Linked DNA regions of Rattus norvegicus. The protein of the gene in region 1 purifies or fractionates together with the protein of each later gene. This does not show direct contact. Links are inferred from orthologs where the notes say so. Each region holds a gene or a part of one and is shown on either strand. Other genes may lie near its edges.

Region 1 (11,082 bases):
AATAATAGCCAAGCTACAATTCACAGAACCATTCACTATTCTGCAACTTAGTAGAATTCAAAGACCCCGTTTTAAAGTTATTGATTACTTTTTAACCTTTGAACATCTGCCAAAGGCAATAAAAATTCTCAGTATCCTTTGGCTACTCAGAGTGTCTTATCCTAGTACCAGTGCAATGGATAACCCTGAAAATAATAGAGATCATGTCAAGGTAAAGAATGTTATCTGTATTTCAATTCTAGCTAGTAACAGAAATCCAGAGCTTTCTATTGTGTTCATTTGACAAAGACGTGAATATTCTTCCCAGAAGCCCTTTAATTTCCAGTTTGAAGTTATCAAGTGTGGGCCTATATACACATACACACACACCCTTATTAAAGCAGCATAGGTCTCACTTTCAAATGTATAAAGAGAAATTCAAGAGATTCTTTAAATCCTGATACTTTATTTCTTATATCCTAGCTATCAAATCCCATATGAATTTTCAGCATTAAATAGTGACACATATCAAGTTTCAGAGATTTATTCATCAGTGTAATAAACTCAAAAAAAAAAATCAACATGATTTCATGCATTCGGAGACATAGTTCCTGCTTAAGTGGAAAATTGTGCGGATGGCTTCTGAAAGACCTTCATTGTAAGCAGCTTTGCAGTGAACTTCACAGTTTAGAAGTCTGGGCCTTCTTTTTTCAGTTTGCTGTAGTCCACGTTCACAGAATAGAACTTAAAAAAGAAAAATTACATTTTAGATTGCCAAGAACAGACACAGCACAGAAGTTCGTTGACCCAACTTTCTTAATAACGTTTTAGAAATAAAAAATTTAAGAATATTTAATGATGTAAACTTAATCCATCAAAAATTACTTGACGTGAAATTGCAGTCTTTCAAGATGGTTTTGGTGAGGAAACTAGGCATCCAATCTTGTAGCTTAAGTATATTCTACTAGTTAGACCAATTAAGAGAATCCATTACAAAACGAAAAATTGCTAATTCCTTTGGATGCATACTTTAACTTTTTAGTTCTTGATTATTTATAGTCAGGGAACTCTAACAGAATGTAAGCATACAGACTTGTCACCTTGGTTAAAGAACTGCATGTGTGATGTCTAAGACTCTGAGTCAAAAGAAAGGGAGGCTGGTAAAACAAGGAGGCTTTGTGGCTCATGCAACTCTTCACCTGTAAACTGCCTTTTTCTCAGAGACTGAATTCTGAGCTCTGTCAGTCAGTTTTGGTGATAGCTTTTATGAAATCTGTCACTTATACACCTTAAAATTTGAAATATATCCTATTAGTCAATTGAAATTCATTTTAGAAATAATTTTACTGTGATAATGCGAACAATGTCTAACTACTAGTGAGTTTTTAAAAATGAAATATTTGAAACTGGTCTGGAATTTCTACTGGAAAAAAGATTATAATCTTAGTTTTACTCATTCTTGTGCTAAAAGAAATTGAGGAGATAATGTTTTAATTCCTTAGTGATTACATGACTTATCTACAAAAGTCATCATGCATTTTCTCCAGAGTTTGTATGCTGTATTGAATAAGAACGATCTCCATAGGGTCAGATATTTGAATGCTTAGTTACCATGGAGACACTTCTGATAGGATTAAAGGATTAGGTGTGGCCTTGCTAGAGGAAGTGAGTCACTAGAGGTGGGTTCTGAGGTTTCAAAGGCCCCCACCAGGCAAGTTCTTTCTCTGCTTGAAGATCAGGTTGTAGCTCCATGTATATTCTCCAGCATCACACTTGCCTGCAACAATGCCACAACATCCTTGCTAAGATGTAATGGACTAAGGCTCTGAAACTGTAAGCAAGCCCCCAATTAGATGTTCTCTTTTATATGCAGTGCTTTGGTGACGGTGTCTCCTCACAACAATGTAAGAGTGACTAAGACAGTTTGTATTAAGAGAAAACTTTAGAGCTGTTGTCAAAGTTCAAAGGCACAGGAGTAGCTTAACCTATGTGAGGGCCTAAATTCATTCCTTCTCATTGTAAACAAAACATACAAACAAGTGGCTCACAAAAATCTGTTTCCAAACATTTCTTCAAACCCCTTTTGCTTCAAACACACGCTTCTCACACAGCCTAAGGCGGCCTCATGGTACGTCTGAGGAGGATCTTAAGACCTGAGGTTTTCCATCTCCTCCTCCCAAGTACTGGACTGAAAGCCACTACACTCAGTTTTAAAGGTACCGGGGACTGAACATAGGCTTTTCTATGTGCTAGGTTGGTACTTTACTAGTTCAACTCCCCCTTCCCGTTACTTGATTTTTAAAAAAGGAAAATCTCGAAATTTGAAAGCATATTGCCATGTCTTTGTTAGGTACATACACACAGACCTAGGGTTTTGTGGGACAGGACATCTTAAGTAAACCGTTAATAGTCTTTGCTGTGTCTTAAGAATCAGTTTACTTAGGCAACAGAATAGTAATCTCTAATTCACATATTATATGCAGGTATAATATATATCATGAAGAAAATAAACACCTAGTGGATGGCAACAGCAAATAGCTCGTCTGTTTATCTTAATCACCACATTCCTTTACATTTCCTTCACAATCCTCGCTGCTTTATAAAAATCCAACTGAATATCAAAGTATAATTTACTTAAAGCTGACTAAACTTATAGGCTGGAGATGGCTCTTAAAGGATCATCCACAGTTCAGTTCCCAACACCTATGTGGGTTGGTTCACAATTACCTTGGTAACTTCAGCTCACAGACTGACACCCACAGTTTCGGTAGGCACCTACACTTAGGTGCACCAATATATATGTATTCAAATAATAAAAATCTTTAAAAACAAAACTACAGTCAGGTGTGGTGATGCTGGTAGTGTATACCTTTAAACCCAGCATTCCTGAGATAGGTGGATCTCTGTGAATTCAAGATCAGCCTAAAATATATATCAAGTTCCAAGACAGCCAAGGCTACTTCCTTAAACCAACTGTTTTGCCAGACATGATGGTGCATGCCTTTAATCCCGGTACTTTGGAGACAAGGCAAAGAGGCAGGCAGGTATCTGTGAATTCAAGATCTGCCTGGCCAACGCACTAAGTTCCAGCGGACAGCCAGGGCTATGTAGAAGGATCTTGCCTTAACAGAGTGTTCCCCACCACCCCCGCAAAAGCTAATAGGCTTTTGATGTATGGCTGTGCACTTAAATTTCTCTGTGCAAGTAATTTTGAAGTTTCCTTTATTTCTTTAAGTCCACATCTCTGCTGTTTGCTGTTTTTCTTAACAGTGGTTACCTCGAAAGCATCCTAGATGGATATATTTAATCCGGGTTTTTGAGCATTTCTTTCATTGATGTTATCTCCAGACCCCTAATCCTTAAATCCCATCTTTGCCTAATCTCCTGTTGTTATATTCACTTTTGCTTTGGGGAAACAATAACCTCCTTTATGAACTGAATATTCATGTCTTCTTGAAATGTCTGTTCAAATTTTAGCCCCCAATGGGATTAACTGAGCATCTGGAAGGTAATTAGGTTGTGAGGGCACAGTCATCACAACCAGAATGTTTTCTTTATAAAAGAAAAACAAGACAGATAGTCTCTTTTCCTTCTGTAAAAGCATAGATCTTATACGTCCCAGCTCCACAACTGACAAACTTCTGTTGCCTAAACTTCCCTATCTATGAGACTTTTTATCATAGCCACCTCAAATCTTATTGCCTTATCACCTTTCGTTTTTATTTACGTTGTTGTTTTTAGATTAAGTACTCCACATTCACTTCTGTCTAATCTTAAGTCTGATGAGAAACCCTTATATATCACTTTTGTTCTCAAGAGAAATGGAAAGAATGAATCAAAAACCCAAATAGTCAAGAGTGGTAAACATCATATTTTCACCTCATGTCTGTCGTAAAAAAAAGGACATGGCTAAATCTGATGTCTATGGGCAGGATAAGGAAAATTCCTTTGAATTCTTTTAGGTGAAGGCAGGAGTCTTTAGATCCAGCATTTGGGATTAAGGGGCAGGCAGATTTCTGAGTTCAAGGCCAGCCTGGTCTACAGAATGAGTTCTTAAGACATCCAAGGCTACATAAACCCTGTCCTAAAAAAATTCTCTTAGGTCACAGAAAAATTAACAATAACACCTAGTTTACCTCACTGCTTGGGCATAGAAGCAAAAATAAGTAGTCTTCATTCATTCCAGGCTTTCAAATTTCTAGATTTAGTTTTCCTCATTTGTATTTCAATATGGCAACTTTTTTTCAATGTCTGCCTGTTATTAGCTACAGGGACTAAGGGTCAGGCTATGCAGCAAACATTTGGGTCTGAGACAGGACATCTTTGTATAGACCAGGCTGGCCTAGAATTCAGAGATCTGCCTGCCTCTGCCTCCCAAGTGATGGGATTAAAGGTGTGTGCTGCCATCGCCAGCCAGCTCTAAAATAGGGTTTTAATGCAACAACATCCCACCTCCAGTTCACATGGCCTCACATCACCCTGTGCCATCATTTTCCAAGGCACTGGCAACAGGTATAACCATTCTAATCATCTGGTACATTTCCTGGAAACCATTTATATACTACTCCAATATGTTCTTTGGTCAAACATCCAAATTCTAGTTCTTTTTTCTCCTTTCTTAAAAACATTTCTTAGATGCAGACACACCCCTTCCCCAAATAACTGCTACATAAAGTTCTACGACAAAATCACAAAGGAGAATACCTGCTTACTGTTTCTTGAGCACATTGTTAAAAATACATATCAGACAGCCTGTTTCGGTGTAGCTAGTAAATTTCCAGTTGTATCTTTAGAAGACAGAAGCTTAAATACTTAAAAGCCAAATTATAGTTGAGTTAAGCACAAAGCTTTAAGCAAATAGAGAATAAAATCTTAAAAGTTGCAATGAACAGTACTACAGGGCACCTATCTCTACCATAGACTTTCCTCAGGTGTCAGTCAGAGAAGGCTCACTGTGTCTCTCCCTGAGTGCTAAGGCAAATTACTGGGTGCCCAGAAACCGTCAGATGTAACAGAAAACATTTGGGACACTTTAAATAGATAAACTGCACAACATATACCCGAATACATGTGAGGGTCTACCATGTGAAAACATTACACATAAGAAAGGCTTCAATTGTGAAACTATTGTCTCGGTGAATGAACACGTTCTTTCAAAAAATAGCTACAGAGAACACTCCTCTGGGAAGATGTTCAAGTTTATCTACGAGGCTCATGGCAAAATTTAATTTCAACTGACTTTCATTTCTTCCTACTAATCTTCACCTAAAATGTTTGAATCATACCAAGAAGCAGCAGCTGAGCAAATCACCAGGGAGACCAGGGTCGCCCATACGTCAATAGCAGCAGCATCTGAACCTTTATGAAAGGCAAATCATCAGTCCCAGCTAAGTCAAGGGGCAGGGCTTTTCAAAGTTCATTACAATGATAATGGGATTTTTACCTGCATACCCCATTTCAAGAAAACTACCACAAAGCCACGTCTATTACAATACACTTTCCAGCAACTTTTAGCAGTTTTCTACCTTACCTTATATTGTTCATTGGGACCCAGTTTGTTCCAAGGCTCTGGGTTATTCTTCCTGTCCCAGCTAAAATGGATAAAACATTATAATTATTACAGGAATAAAACACTGCTTACAATAGTGTGTTAAAAATGCTTTGTTAGAAACTAGTTTTTTGAGGTTTCACTTAGGTTACATTTACATACAACAACAGTAATCACAGTTAAGTATTTCATAAAAAACAATGGTTGCCAGGCATGGTAGTGCACGCCTTTAATTCCAGCACTAGCAAGGCCAACCTGATTTACAGAGTGAGTTCCAGCACAGCCAGATGTACATTGTGAGGCTGTCTCAAAGCAACAGCAATAACAAAAGCAAGCAAGCAAACAAACCAAAAAACCCAACCTTCAAAATGTAAGAGTTGGTATTAGCAATTCTACTCTACCAATAGGAATCTAAAACTTGGGGAGATGAGGTAAGTTCAGGAAGCCAGCAAAGTAAATGTCAGCAGCAGAAGAAGCCCTGGGCTGACTTGAGAGCTAAAAGCTGTAGTTGTTTCTACTCCATTACCTCTCCCGGGACCGTGGTCCCCAGCCCAGACTCTTAACCATCCAAGTATTAAGCCTTACACTCACCTGACATCTGGATTGAACAATGCCAAGCGCATCACATACAGTGCTGCTCCAGTACCCCCTGCTCCAATAAACACGAAGAGAGGGATCAACTAGAAACAAATAGACAAACAGAGTAGCCATCATCACATTCCTTGATCTTGTCCAAATAAGAACATACTGCTTTCTTCCTCCACGGTAACCTCCAAATCTGCTATTTCACTAACGTCCTACAATGGAATAAAGGTTGAACTCATGAAGCAGTGTTTCTTTCAACTGTATTCTAAAGGCACAGTCTTTGTAAAAAGATGCTAGGATGGTTTTGGCTTAAGAGTCCAACTTCCTTACGTGGATCCATGGAGTAAATCATATCGACAAATAATCCTATCAAGTACATTCACCTTTGTAACACTTCGAACAACACTCCCATTAAATTTCAGTGCTTCCCTGGAAGTAATGGGAAATACTTTCCCAGAAGGCTGGAAGGAGGGGAGCCCCTTTGAAAACTACTGAAAAGTGGCCCTGAAAAGTTCTGTGAACATAACCTCTGTGACATAAGTGTAATTAGCTGACAGAAATGTTTATTAAAAGCACTGGTTTTAGGAATGAACTCTGAAAACTGACTGCTGTTAATTTTGCTAACCAGGCTGAAGGCAAGGTTTAAGGCCTGTCAAAGGGAGTTTTAGGTACACAGCATCCTACTATATTGGGCTAAACTGAACCAAAGTGACATGTCAAGAAAACTTAAACACATTTTGGAAATGTCATGTTTTCCAAGCAAAGTTATGATTACAAGATGACGACGACCCCTTGTATTTCTGAAGGCTTGGTGGTGCAATCCGGTGAATATAATAGCCTCAAAAAGGCAGCATAACAAACTTGGTCTCTCTTGGATTCTAATCACTCAATATACCACTCACCCTTCTTGGGACCAAGTAACCTGAGAGATCGGTGGCCACAGTGTTCCAACACTCAGAATGTTTACCTTTTTCCCTGATGTCTGACACCTTCGGCTTCAGGCAACCCCTTCCCCACCCCCAGTAGAGACTTCGAGCTATCAGGTTAGGCCAACCTCAGAAACAGAGAAAAGAGAACGTCCCCAGGGGACACGGGAAGGCGCAATCACAGCTAAGAGCCCACTCTGGCAAAGATCGTGAACTTACGCTGGGATGTTTCTTGGCTTGCCCGAGGATCTGGCGGAGCATGTTTGCGGCACAGGCCTACCTACACCGAGAGAGAAGATTAGGACACACACTAAACCGCTTCTGCAACCTGGCTGAGCGGACGTCCAAAGTCACCCAGGACCTCCTACCTGAAGGACCCCTGGCTGGGAGGGCAGCCTGCAGTAGGAAAGCCCGGATGCGGCTGTCCTCTATGGTGCCTGAATGGGTGTTCAGCCCTCGCGCGGTCGCCCTAACTGGTACCAGCACTTCTTCCCATTGTTAAGCTAAACATCCTTTAGTTCTCCACTATGCATATTTTTGATAGGATTATTTTTGCACAGAAATCAGAGCGTCTCGACTGATAAGACAGGCAATTTTCAGGACAGCATGCGTGTAGATCAGGGTCATCCGGCGGTCGGCTGGAAGTGCGCTTGGCGAGCGCGGCTTCCCTAGCGGCGCCTCTAGGCCTGGGCCGCGCGCTGACGCGCTTGGGGGCGCGCGTGCGGTGCGCGCGCTGGGCCTCTCAGAGAGCCCCAGAGGGAGCTGCCAGGCGCCTCTGCAGGCGCAGCGCCCAAATCCCGCAGGACAGGTCGAGTCTCCAGCCGCTGGGGTCAACGGCTGCGGTTTAAGACTGCAGCTGCTTCCTGTCTTCCACTGGCGCTTAGGGACAGAAGTTGAAACACTAGTAAGTGACATAAAGATGGCCATAGTTTTTACAGTGTGGTTTCTGAAGTTTTGCAACGTGCCACCATCTCTTTTTGCTCCAGATGTTGCGTCCTTATCTTCATTGATCGTGTTCCTGAACTTATCCTTTTCTATCGCCCTGATTCAATGTTCATTTATCTCTTTGTAAATTCACTTTTACCCAAAAGTCTTTCTTTGGGGAGGGTTTAATGGGCAGTTTGGAATCACAGCCAACAATTTGGACACTTTCCAACTCCCTACTTATCTTAAAGATTTTTAAGTAATAAAACTAAAAAGAGGAGGTGTCTTCACCAAAACTGCTAAACTGAAGAGGTAGCATTAGCTCACTACAGGCTTCACGTGGAGGTGTGTAAGGAAGACAATTCACATAAAGTTCAGAAACGTACAGTCTACTGTGGAAGTTACGGAATAGAGAAGGCAAAGTAGGGGCCACATCTGAGCCAGGGACCACTTACACAAGAACTTTATGTTCAGGACTTTAGGAAGCTCACCAAAAAGACTGTGTAGTTGGAAAGAATTTGGCTCTGAAGAACAGAGTAGAGAAAAGGGCTATTGTAGTAATCCATGTGAGAGAATTTTAAGTTGCCCTAAAGGAGGGAATGAGGTGATTGGGGAAAAAAATCACCAAAAATCTCAGAGAAATTTTGGGGGACTAACAGGACCTAATGGTTGGATACATATGAGCGAATGAGGAAAAGATAATAATATCAGAAGTTTAGTGGTGATCAGCTGTGAAAATACCCATGCCAATTATTGAAATGGATGAGTGTCTATGCAAAACCTACGATATTTCTAGAGAGCAGAATGCTTATCTAGAGTAGGAAATAAATGGAGTCATTTTATTAATTAGGAAATGAGCTGTATGACTGGCTAAAATTGCCAGGAGATAGTGTGAGAAAAGGCTCAGGATCAAACTAAGGAATTCAAGCATGCTTGTTTAGATAAAACCTGCAAGGAGGGGAACATGGGTGCTAAGTTTTGAAGATTATGGCGTGCTTCCCTTTCCTTCCCTTCCTTTTTTTTCCTTCCTTTTTCATTCTTCCACTCATTCACTCATCCATTCATATCTCCTCTCTCTCTCTCTCTCTCTCTCTCTCTCTTTCTCTCTCTCTCTCTCTCTCTCTCTCTCTCTCTCTCTCTCTCTCTCTCTCTCTCTCTCTCTCTCCCAGAAAACATTTGCTAAGCACCTAGTCTATTCCATATCTTGCTTTGGCTTTGGCTGGCCTCTGACTCAAGATCCTCCTGCCCCAGCTTTCCAAGAGTTGGCATTACAAACATACACCTCCATACACAACATTCAGCTCCTAGGGATTTAGAATAGAAGGAAAAAATTACTGTGCTCTAACAGATGTACCATGTTGACTAGGAAGAGCAGGTAATATGCAGATAACTTTAGATAGTTATAGGTGTGCCAGTAAAATAAATAACTGAGAAAGGACATGGGAGAGAAGATGACTTGAGCTAAAGTGGGCAAGGAACGATGCCTCTGGGGCTATCATCTGAGGTGAAACCTGAAGGAAAAGCAGAACTTACCAAGGTCTGATAACGAACAGCAGCGGGAAAGAGTACTGCAAGGAAGCATGAGTGACTGGTTCAGACAAGCAAGGAGATCACCGAGGGAGTAACGATCTTGGTAATACTATGGTAACCAGTATGGTTATGTTAATAATCAGAGAGTACTCAGATGTGAACAAGGGAAGTAACGGTAGTGTGCATAGCCAGGCTGCTAGCAAAAGAATTACACGACTTTTGCTGAACATTTCATTTGGAATGTTAAATATTGGTAATAAAAAGTAAGCAGATATACAGGAATGCCAGAATCCAAAAGCAAGTAAAGTCTAGAAGTTTGCTGTTTTGTTGCTTCTTAAAATAATATTATTGGCCTAGTTCCTAGACATAATAATATGATAGCTAGATGAAGTCTGTTGAAATATTAACAAAGCAGAATTGCACAGTATACATTTGACTAAACTGTAACCAACCCACCACAGGTCCAATTGTCAAAGCTTAAATTTTGCATATTAAAGTTAGAGGAAAGAATATGTGAGCTGCATTCTAAGTAGGGCTGGAGATAGTAGAGGGGACAGTTTAGAAGAGCTAATGTAGAGGGGGCATTGAACACTGCAGTGTGACTTTGTTATTTACAAATTCCTCTTGCTTACTGTTAGAAAGAGAGGCCATCTCACTGCCTCAGTAACATCAGCTTTGATAAGGTGACTTTCCTCAGTAGGGAATGGAATGTGAGAATTCCACCTGTCATACAGAATTGTTGGCTCCCGTGTGTGCTGTTCTCTCTCTTCTCTTTTCCCATCATGACAAGATCAAGTTATGTTCAAAACCGTGGTATCAGCTTCGGTGTGAGATCAAACACTATTTGGAAAGAGCCGTTGTTTACGTATGATGGATGTGCTTAGAAAGTAGGAAAGAAAGCTTTCTTGTTTCAAGTCATAGTAATTGTGATTAGCAGGGCTGTCTGTCTCAAAAAGAATTACAGGTTTGGCCAATGACGCAGGGTTCAATTAGAAGAGAAGCAGATTATATATTGCTAAAAGAACTCTTAGCTTAGGGTTTTAAAAACTGCGACTGTTTGAGGTGTGAATTGATGTTACATTTCTCCAGTCTTCCAGAGGAAATAATTGGATAGATGTGCTTGTGCTTATGAACTCCTTACATGGATTCAAGCCAGAACCAAGGAGGAGCACTGCCAAAATCATGGTGCAGTTAAATACTGTTCCCTATGTTAACTCTGTTGCATGTCAGTGCCTGTATACAGTCCTCATTCTCTTCAGTATATGTATCCAGTCCCCAGTCCCTGTTCTCTGTAGAAATTTATGTGTATCTGTTTTATGGCAATTCAAGTTGTTGTTAATTCATAGATTTTTTTTTTTTTTCGGAGCTGGGGACCGAACCCAGGGCCTTGCACTTGCTAGGCAAGCGCTCTACCACTGAGCTAAATCCCCAACCCCAATTCATAGATTTTTGATCAATCAAAAACAATGCTAGAAAAAAACCCTAGAAAACACAGTATTAGACTGGGAATGTAACTCAGTTCTGCATCACTTGCAGAAATTGATAAAGGGAGGGGAAAAACAAGGAAAGAAAGAAAAACTAAGTCAGGAA
Region 2 (10,356 bases), on another chromosome or scaffold:
CCAGAGCTGGTGGCACACACCAGTAATCCTAGCACTGGAGAGGTGGAGACAGAACACCTGAACTTCAAGATCATCCTTGGCTGCAGTGGGTTTGAGACGACTCTGGGCTGTATGAGGTTGCCTTAAAAGTGACTGATGCACATCTTTCTTACAGGGCACAGGGAGTGTAGGAGGAAGCACGGATGAATGGAGTGGTGGCATGCTCAGCTCCTTCCGTCGGCAGAAGGGTCAAGGAAAGCCCTCAGCCTCACCTCTCATGGTTTGTGACAACAGCCCAGAATCCTGTGCTCTGGGAGGTTCCCTCACGCTGTCTACAGAGCACTGGAAGTAACAAGCAAGCAAATTATGAGTATATAATAAATGAGTCATGGATGATGAAAGGTCGTTCCCACTTCTCACTCCTGCAGGATTAATTGGACTTTGTCTCTTCTGTGTCTAAGAGGCATCTGGTTTAGAGCCAGGATATCCAGGCTATTACACAACCACACATGCAATTAAGGGGGACGGAGACCTTTTTTCTTTTAAAATTATTATTTTTTTTTCTTTTTCTTTTTTTTCGGAGCTGGGGACCGAACCCAGGGCCTTGCGTTTGCTAGGCAAGCGCTCTACCACTGAGCTAAATCCCCAACCCCTTAAAATTATTTTTAACTGTGTGTCTGTTTTCAGGTGCTCTTGGAATCTAAATCCTAGAGCTGGAGTTAAAGGTTATTATGAATTGCTTGATGTGGGTGCTGGGAACTAACTCTGGTCCTTTTCGAGAGCAGCAAGTGCACTTAATCACTGAACCGTCTTTCTACACACCCCTCCCCCAACTTGAAATTTTTTTACTTTCTACATAAGTCCAGCAGAGACTTGCCTCAAAGCCACTTAGGCTGACTGAAGCCTTTAGCCTGGAGGAGTTGTCATGTTCTGGTCATGCAGTTTTGTTACTGCTTAGTAGAATATTTTGTAACATTGGGCCCTCAGGGCAAAGGGGGATCCCTGGTGCCGTGGGGTCACTCAGTAACTAAACCCTGAGACCCCGAGTGCCTTCCTCCAGCATCCAGGACTGTCCAGGGAAGGAGGTGGAAGCACGAACATGAGTACTTCAAGGTCACCCCTGGTTACACAGGGAGTCGCAAGGCTATCTTTGGCTACATGAGATCCTGTTTGAAACAAAAATGTGCAGAAGTAGTAGGACAGTTGTGCCTGCACTGAACAGTGTACTCTGCACAGTGAGGAGGCAATTCTAAGTGCAGTCATTTCTACTGCTGCCCCACGGTGCTGCTCTGTTCCCTCTGATCCCAGAGCCTTGGTGCCAAGAAGCCCAGTCTTGGGAGCTTCATACATAAGTACAAGCACAGTAACAACCCTCCAGCTGTCCACTGTGGGAGATCTGGACAGAACCACATAGCCTTTCCTGCTTTCCCATAAAAGGGTCTGACTCAGTCGGCAGCAAACAACCTTCTCCAGGAGAGGGAGTAATCACAGCATGGGCACTAAGGCCCCACACCAAGGCAAGAAGTAAGAGAGACCACAGGAAAAGGGTTCACCAGTGCAACTTTATCACGACCATCAAATAATGGGTTTATTTGTACTCTAAGATAATTAAATATTAACATGCACCTTCCCATCAGGTGACCTCATGGGTCATGGCCAATATAGAACTTGGACAAGAAATCTTTTGGCCTTGGTGTTTCTGTTTCATGGAAGAACCGCATAATGTGTGTCCGCTGCTTCCACACTTTAATGGTTTCCTGGAGCTCCATCTTTCCCTGTGTACATGAAGGAAGAGGTGGTCAGTTCCAGCCACCAAAAGAACAACACATCACTCAAGTTCAGCTCTGTGTTGTGTTTGGCATGGACTTGCCAATGACCGTAGATTACCATGTCCAGAACCACTCTGCCTTCTTGTGGCTGCAGACAGTGAGCCAGGTGTCCCAGGGTGGCATCCCATAGGAACTCCCACTTCCTACTTTACGTTGTTAAAGCTGCAGTGTCCCCCTCCCCTGCCCCAGACCTCCCCTTCAGTAATCTCAAGCTTACGTGGGGGCTGAGGCAAGAGGATGTCTAGTTCCAGCCCAGGCTATATACTGAGACCACCTCAAAAGTGGAGACCTCCAATGGGGTATAGTGGTGCCACCTTTAATCCTGGCACCTGGGAGGCAGAGGCAGTGGATCTCAGGACCAGCCTGGTCTACAGTGCAAATTCTAGGACAGCCAGAACTACATAGTGAAATCTTGGCTTTAAAAAGAAAAAAGGGGCCTCCAAGTTGAACCTGGAAACACAGCAGCTGTCTTTTAATCAAGGCAGAATTTACTTGAAAACTCAGAGGCACAGGACAAGCCAGCAGAACTTTTAAGTCTGTCAGAGAGGGTCAGTTACCTTAATGACCAGGAGGTCAACCACTCTGGGGTCGGTGACATGGGCATTCTTCATGAACATTTCTCGGACTTTATCCCGTCCTTGTTTCACCGTGATATCCAGCTGCATTAAGTGCACTAAAGAGGAAACATGACTGTGGAAATCAGACCTCTTAAACATGCTTCTAGAAGCTTATGTCAGTGGTGACTGCTGGCCATGTACAAGTGGCTTCATGCCACACAGTCCAACCCCCAGCCTGGACACACATCTTACTAAATCGCCCAGAGCCTGGATCTCAGAACTCTTGAATGGGCCACTTGCTTTTTCTGTATGGGCAGAACAGGTGGGGATAGAGTCTAGGCCTTGCACATGTTAGGCAAGGGCTTGGTCACTGAGGAATATTTTTATATGGAATAACCAGAAAAAAATAAAGGCACCAGAGTTGAAGTCTGTGTAAAATGACGCAGTGTAGGTTGTAACTATGAGTTTGGGAGCTGAGGGGCACTGCTAAGGGTTTGCGCAGGGAGGGCAGGCTGTACTCAAACCACCAGACCACCTGGGGAAGGACAGACTTTAGGCCTTAACTGAGAGTGGAACAGTAACCCACGACTGCAACAAGATACACGGCTGCCTCCCAGGATCCATGAGCCACACCACCCTGAGCCCCCAACCCCATGTAAGGGACCGAAACTGAACACAATAAACTTCCCTTAAAAAGGGGGGAGACTGGAGTTAAGAGCACATACTGTCTTTCCAATTCCCAGCAACCATGTCAGACAACTGAAAACACATTGTACCCCCAGCTCCAGGGCCCCACGTGCCTCTGGCCTCTGCCAACACTTGCTTTCACCTGCACTCCCCCCGCCCCACACACATGATTTTAAAAGTAATAGAATATATTTTAAAAGTCACAATATCCACCAATCCATTAAGTCAGTGGCTAAACAGTGGCACAGACTCAAGTGACGAAACTTAATGTGCCACATGGACCGGGTTTTTGGAGATTAGGTTGTAAACTGGACTCAGTGGTAACAGGCCTGTAACCCAGCCTACAGCCTTGGGCCGTGTGGCACTATGGATCCACAGCAAGGTCTTGTTTCAAAAGAAAGAAAAGCAGGTTTTAGTCACTTTTATACCCTGACACTGGCCTTTGGCAGATTTGCTGAGGACATTTAAGGATACAAAAGCACTACAAGGTGTTAGATGGAAGGAAGGTGACAGAGACATCATCAAGGGTTTACAGGCATTCTGGCTACAGAGGTCAGTATATTTATTGTGCTTTGGCCATTCTTGTGACATGTCCACTCCGATCTATAAAACTGCCATCAGCCAACCATGGTGGCATATGCCTTTAGTCCCAGTACTGAGAACTCAGGCTGATAGATCAAAGGATTGAGGCCAAATCCTAACAAAAACAAAACAAGCCCAGGGTGGTAGCACAGAAACAGATGGCTCTTTGAGTTCAAGGACTGCCTGGTTTATGTAGCAAGTTCCAGGCCAGCCAATGCTACAATGTGAGACACTGTCTCAGACAAAACAAAAAGTCACAAAAACACACAGACAAAAATCATGTGTTGTCTAAATCAGGTTTGAGTTTTATACTCAAATTCAGTGACTAGAAATGGTAAACACTTTAGTTCTCAGAGAGCTGGTCACCAAGGTCAGCCTGCACGCAGGGATTTCAGGAAAGAACTGTAAAATGACAAACTGACAATGCAAACTGATACAGAACCGGTCATGCCATTCAGAACCTTAGTATTTGTGAAGCATCAGGCCCAGAGACTGAAGAGTGCAGTGTTATAACTGCTGTCAGGTAATCGTGGGCCTGTGGTTGGCGTGGGTTTTTCACTCCAGTCTGTGTTCTAAGAACTAGGAGGAATCTTCTCCCCATCAGTGCCTCCCCCAAGTTTTATGTCAGTTACTATAGTAACCTATTAAATACAGTAACTCCCTGAAGAAGACAGTATTCTAGCTATTTCACAGATGAGCAAATACCGGTGAAAAATCTTACCCAAGGTCACACAGCTAATAAGGGTCAGAACCTCAGGACAGTGTGGCTACCTCTCTGCAGTGCTGAGGCCTGTCATGGAGCTGCCACTCATTGGAAAATGCCTTTCCCCTCAGATCAGCTGTGGTGGTTCAAGTTAAATACATGTCTACTCAACAAGAAAAGATGTCCCCGACATTTGTAGGACATTTGAACTCTCACTCACCCCTTTTTAAAATCCACTACAGTGGCAGCATTGAGGGAGACAACCAAGAGAGCACACTCCCACCCACCACTCAGGTGAACTGAGATTCTCCGCCACCTAAAGGAAAAGGAGAGCGTTTTGCAGCAGTAGGTGTTAGACTTCAAAATTCTGGAGCAAGCTGATTTAGTGAGCGAGGTTACGGAGACTCGAGGGGTCATTGTCAGGAGGCTTCAAAGGGACCAGGAAGCTACTGGATGACCTTGGTCTAGTCTTTTCCCTCTCGTGATGGATGCAGTGTGTTCTCCAGACTGGGTAATGGATAACTGCTAAAGCCCTTTGCCACTTTAGTTACAAAGTCTAATGGGCATCTGGAACATTTTCTGGAACTGTAAAGTCGGGTTCCAGAAACACCTGGGGCTAGCGTGGGACCGCGGACGCGTCAATTCCTTTCTCATAGTCCCTGCTCGCTCCTCCCTGGGGCTCTGTAAGAAACATAGGAACAAAGGCCACCAAAGCGACTAGGGCTCTCGGAAGCCCTGTCCCGGGGTGGGGCACTTTGGTCCGTGTGACCCCCTTCCCCCGAAGCCCAGGGCTCATTTCTGTCCTAGTAGGTGACCTCAGCCCGGCACCTTGGACTGGTGACTCCGGGGCCCTGAATGCACCCCTGCCTCTCACCAGTGTTTGGCACCTCCCGGTACCAAGCGCGGTAGAGCTCGCGCACCCTCCGCTTGGCCTCTTTCAGGTCCCGACTGAAAATGGGCTTCACCGAGGTACTGGCTGCAGAAGCAGCCTGGCGCAGGCCGCTGGCCGCGGCCGCCATCTTGCTAAGGAAGCCCCGCCCTCTCAGCGCGCGCACGCGTAGCGTTACAGGACGCGACGCCACGCCCTCTGCGGTGGATTGACTGGGGCTCTCCGATTGGACGGGCTCTGCCATGCGCATGCTCTACCGCGGAAACACCGATTGGTGGTTGGCTCCTTCGACCGCGGCGCTGAAGAACCACCAGGGAGCGCAGCGTCGAGGCTTCCGGCAGCGGTCGGTTTGTTGTTCCAGCCGGGTGATGGCGGTCTTTCCGCAGAAACAGTTTTCTTCTAGACTTGGTGTAGATCGCAAAAGCGCCTCCGGCTTGAGCTTTGTGCCGTTTCTCAGCCCCGGGATTATAATGAAAACTCCATATTGTTTGTTTGTTTACTTATTGTCATTGTTTTTCGTTGTCGTCTGATTGCGGCTGACCTTAAACTCACTTATGTAGACCAGCCAGGTTGGCCTCAGAACTTGCAGTGATTTCTCTGCCTCTGCAGGTTTGTGTCCACCGAACTTGTGGTTGCCATTTTGTAAATAAATGTGTATGGATGTTTTGGCTGTTTGTATGTCTGTGCACCACGTGTGGTTTTGGTGTCTACGGAGGCCAAAAGAAGGCGATGGATTCCCCTGGGACCGACGGTTGTGAGTTACTTTGTGGAGCTGGGAATTGAATTCAGGTCCTCTGTAAGAACAGATGCTTAATCACTCGCTGAGGCGCCTCTCCAGCCCCTGTGGTTACATTTGGCCTTGCACTCCAGAATCCTCCTGCCTCAGCCTCCTTAGTACTGGGTGCTATTACATCTAGCCTAATCATCGTCATTTTAGACAAGGAATTTACATCCTAAACCATGGAAGCTGGAAGAATCCTTAAGTCATTCATTTGGGTACCTCTGGCTTTGCTGGCATGACTCATTAAGATTCTCACTGGACATCAAGTGCAAAGAAAAAAGAAACTTACAACATGTCAAGTGGAACCCTAAGTCTTTAATGTGGTTTAAGCTCATAGTGTAGGTATTAACAGAACCCTTATTTTACAGGCAGGGAACAGTACAGAATCTTTGTCACATTAGATCACTTCCTTGCCTGATCCCTGACTAGAAGCCACTGTCTTTTCCTGAAAGCTCAGTTGACCAGGACTGAAGACATTGAGGAAGGGACAAGGGACAGGACTGAGTGTATGAACACTGGCCTTGCCATGTGACTCTGGTTGGTGTGGGTGTGGTCTGGAATCACTCAGCCATTATCCTGTCAAATGATAGTAGATATCTTTCCATTGAATATTTTTGAAACGCGCGTGCGTGCGTGCGTGTGTGCGTGCGTGTGTAGAGGTCAGAAGACAGGTCTTGAGAGTTCTCCATGTGGTCCCAGAAGTCAGTTCAGGTCATCAGGCTTGGTAGAATGTGCCTTTGCCTATGGAGCCATCCTGCCAGCCCATATTTGTATATTTCGATGGGTATATACTCCCTGACACTGGAAACCCTAGTTTAGTCAGCAGAGGGCTTGTTATACAAGCATGGGGACCTGGTTTCAAAACACAACACCTAAAATAAAAGGCTAGAAATGATGTCTGTAGGGGAGGTGGAGATAGCTAGATCTACGGGTCACTCCATGTGGCCTAATCAGGAATTTCAGGTCCCAGTGAGAGGCCCCGTCTCATGTGCCTAAAGGAGGGCATTAGAGGTTGACCTTTGCCCTTACACATACCCTCAAGTGCGCAAACACAGACCCAAATGTGTACAATAATACTCCATATAATGACTGTGCTATATCTATATTCTACGACATATATATTCTATGCTATATAATAAAGCTGGAGAATTGCTGCCGAATGACATTTTAATATAGTAATTGTACCATCATTATGGATATCTTTGTGGTGATGAAAACAAACATAGTACTTCCAGTCAAAGTATAATACACACAGATATGTTCAGCACACGGCATTTAATAATTACTGGTTTACATATTCACAACTTGTCCTAGTTACAACCCTGTGGCTCTGAATACACCATGACCAAGCGAACTTAAAAAGTAAGCATTTAGCAGGGGCTTACGGACAGTCCAGAGGGTGAGTTCGCACCGAGGATAGATTGCATGGAGGAGAGCATGGAACAGGCCGGCAGGAATGTCACTGTAGCAGTAACTAAGGGCGTACATCTTATCCCAAAGCTGGAGACTGAGAGAGACTGGGCTGGCCTCTAGTCACCTCTAGTGACACATTTTCTTCAACAAAGGCCACACCTACTCCAACGAGGCCGCACCTCCTAGTCCTTCCAAAACAGTTCCATCAACTAGGGACCTAACATTCAAATACATGAACTTATTGGGGGCCAAACCACCACATTATTAATGATTTTTGCTTTTTGTATTTTTTCTTTCATCCTCTCCCCTTCTTTTTGAAACCTAGTTAACCTGTAGCTTTCTGTATAGACCCATGTTGGATGGTTCACAACTAGCATAACTAGCTCTGAGGGGACCAGTTACTTTTTTCTTTTTTTCGGAGCTGGGGACCGAACCCAGGGCCTTGCGCTTGCTAGGCAAGTGCTCTACCGCTGAGCTAAATCCCCAACCCCTAAACTTGAGGTAAGAGTGATTTTTTTTTCTTTTCTTTTTTTCGGAGCTGGGGACTGAACCCAGGGCCTTGCGCTTCCTAGGCAAGCGCTCTACCACTGAGTTAAATCCCCAACCGACCAGTTACTTTTTCTGGTCCCTATTGAACACCTGCATGCATGTGCCCAACCCCTACCCCACACGCACAGGAACATGGACACACACATATGGATACATTTTTAAAATTTAGTTTTTTTTTCAGACTTGTTTTAAGGTCTAAAATGTAGCCTTTTCCGTCTTGATTGGCATTTCATATAAACCAAGACATTCTTGAGTTTTAGCCACCTATAGGCATATGATCGTGATTCAGCCACGTTCATGACGTTTGGAGGGGTAGGAATAACTGTTACCCACTTGATATCACTGAGTACCTTCAGGGGCAGGGTCTGTGCCCTTCCTCTGCCCTCAGCCATGCCCCACATGGGAGCTCGGCAAACTGGCTGGGTGAATGGATGACACTGGGATGTTGCTAGGCTCTCTTCTTATTTTTGATTTAGAGGATCGGCTGCCCGGTGTTAAGTCCTCCCACGACTCTGTGACTTCCTGTCTTCAGGACTTCACGTGGCACTCACTCTTCTTACTGCATCCTTATCATTGATCACATTGAACTGAACCAAAGGAATACTTGTGAGGAGGCTACCTCTGACCGGGCACACTTAAAACCACCTCGAGGCAATTGGTGTGAAGCCCTTCTCAGATATGGAGGTGTCGTCTGTCATAAAGCCATTACAATGCCATACCCTCCCTGCAAAAGGAGGGCCCGTGTGCCCGACTCCCAGGTTTAGCTGGTGTTAACACTCTTCCCAGTTTGTAGGCTGCATGGACACTGACACAAGTCTCTGTGGATCACTGACTGTCATCCAGATGGGCGTGCTTGGTAAATATCCTTGTCATCCCATACCCAAGCCAGCAAAAAGGACCCTTAGGACCCAGTCTTGCTCTCTCTGCATCCCTTCCTTCTTGGCTGTCCTCTCCTTCCTCTTATCTTCTCACCTAGAGCCTGTCTTATTTCCTTTCCTCCTCTTAGCTTCCTTGCAGGATGAGCTTGATAATATGTTCACCGGTACACGATTGACTAACAGAACTTAGAGTTGAACACATTGCAAGCAGCAGTTTCAGTAAGATGCGGTAGCTCTGCTTTGAAATGCTAACCAGGGTTCGAAGCAACAGACGTGAGCTGCAGAACCATGCAGTCAGGCATGTTGTCATTGACCTGTCTCAGACATAAGACCAAATTTCTAGGCACTGCCAATGGCTTCTTAGATAGGAGAACCCCTCGCTGAGAAACCAAGGGAGGTGGGCTGCCCCACAACATTCAGGCAGTCAGCAAAGGAAGCATTTCACAATCACTATGAATGTGTACTCTAGGTGAGGAAGGGAACAGAGAAGGACCTGGAGTTTGAGGTAATATAGTGAGTTTTGGGCTAGCCTAGGCTACATGTTGAGAATATATATATATATATATATATATATATATATATATTCTGAGATTAAAGGTGTGTGCTACCATACTCCCAAATTATTTTTTAAAGGGTACATAAAACTGAAAATACGCTAAAGATAGAAGACAGGTGGACCCAGAATGACCTGATGCAACACTCACTTTTAGGCCAATCAGGGAAGAAGAACATGAGGGGTGGGAGGAAACCTAGAAGATGAGACATCAACAGACAGAAGAGGTGTTTTTAGGAAGAGGTAGACACCAGAGTGCATGGCATGGACAAGGGAGGCCACTGGGATGGTTGGCACACTGGGATGGTGACCAGAGTATATCAGGGATGGGGCTGAGACTGACAACTTTTAAGTTTCAATTAGCTTCAAGTGCTTCATGGGTTCAAAGCGCACTGCAGTGGGTTGTGTATTGAGGGAAAGGGGGAGCAGTGTAAACACCCACTGTAGACCATTCTTGGAGGAGACTGCATTGCAGGGTGGGGCAGTAAGGGTAGGAGCTGGGAAGGATCTCCAGGTTCCAGAGAAGTCTAGTTTTCCATGGGAGGGGTGTGTGGTGTGTGTCAGCGGGGATGGAACTGAGCCAGAAGAGAGGGAAAAGCAGGTGAGAGGAGGGATCACCAGATGCTCAGGTCATTAGAAGGCCAGAGAGAATGGGGTACAGGAGCCTTGGAGAAGAGTGGGTCACTTCTGCCACTGTAAGAGAGGCCCTGTGAGAAAGGTGCTCCCTGATGGTGCTCCTGTTCTCGGCTACACAGAGAACCTGGAGCAGAGGTGGGGCGGAAGGTTTACAGAGGGAATCTGGAATCATCTCTTCAGTGTGGGTTGCTGACAGGAAGTGGAAGGGTCTCACTATGCAGCTGTAGCTGTGGCTGGCCTGGAACTCGCTATGCAGACCACGCTGGCATTTGACTCATAAAGACACATCTGCCTCTGTGTCCTGTGTGCTGAGACTAAAG

Evidence for each region.
Region 2: the proteins of Ndufa4 (region 1) and Ndufa6 purify together in Homo sapiens (co-immunoprecipitation; 3 studies listed by BioGRID and IntAct, with this or other methods). This does not show direct contact. The link is inferred for Rattus norvegicus from reciprocal best matches to the Homo sapiens genes COXFA4 and NDUFA6.

The regions. Positions count from the first base shown.
Region 1 is NC_086022.1:40,968,142-40,979,223, forward strand, and holds Ndufa4 (cytochrome c oxidase subunit NDUFA4), read right to left. Parts: upstream 7,419-11,082; 5' UTR 7,300-7,418; coding exon 7,258-7,299; intron 6,208-7,257; coding exon 6,119-6,207; intron 5,571-6,118; coding exon 5,510-5,570; intron 724-5,509; coding exon 667-723; 3' UTR 250-666; downstream 1-249. UniProt on the Homo sapiens protein: Component of the cytochrome c oxidase, the last enzyme in the mitochondrial electron transport chain which drives oxidative phosphorylation.
Region 2 is NC_086025.1:115,744,944-115,755,299, forward strand, and holds Ndufa6 (NADH dehydrogenase [ubiquinone] 1 alpha subcomplex subunit 6), read right to left. Parts: upstream 5,375-10,356; 5' UTR 5,357-5,374; coding exon 5,212-5,356; intron 2,482-5,211; coding exon 2,366-2,481; intron 1,755-2,365; coding exon 1,623-1,754; 3' UTR 1,517-1,622; downstream 1-1,516.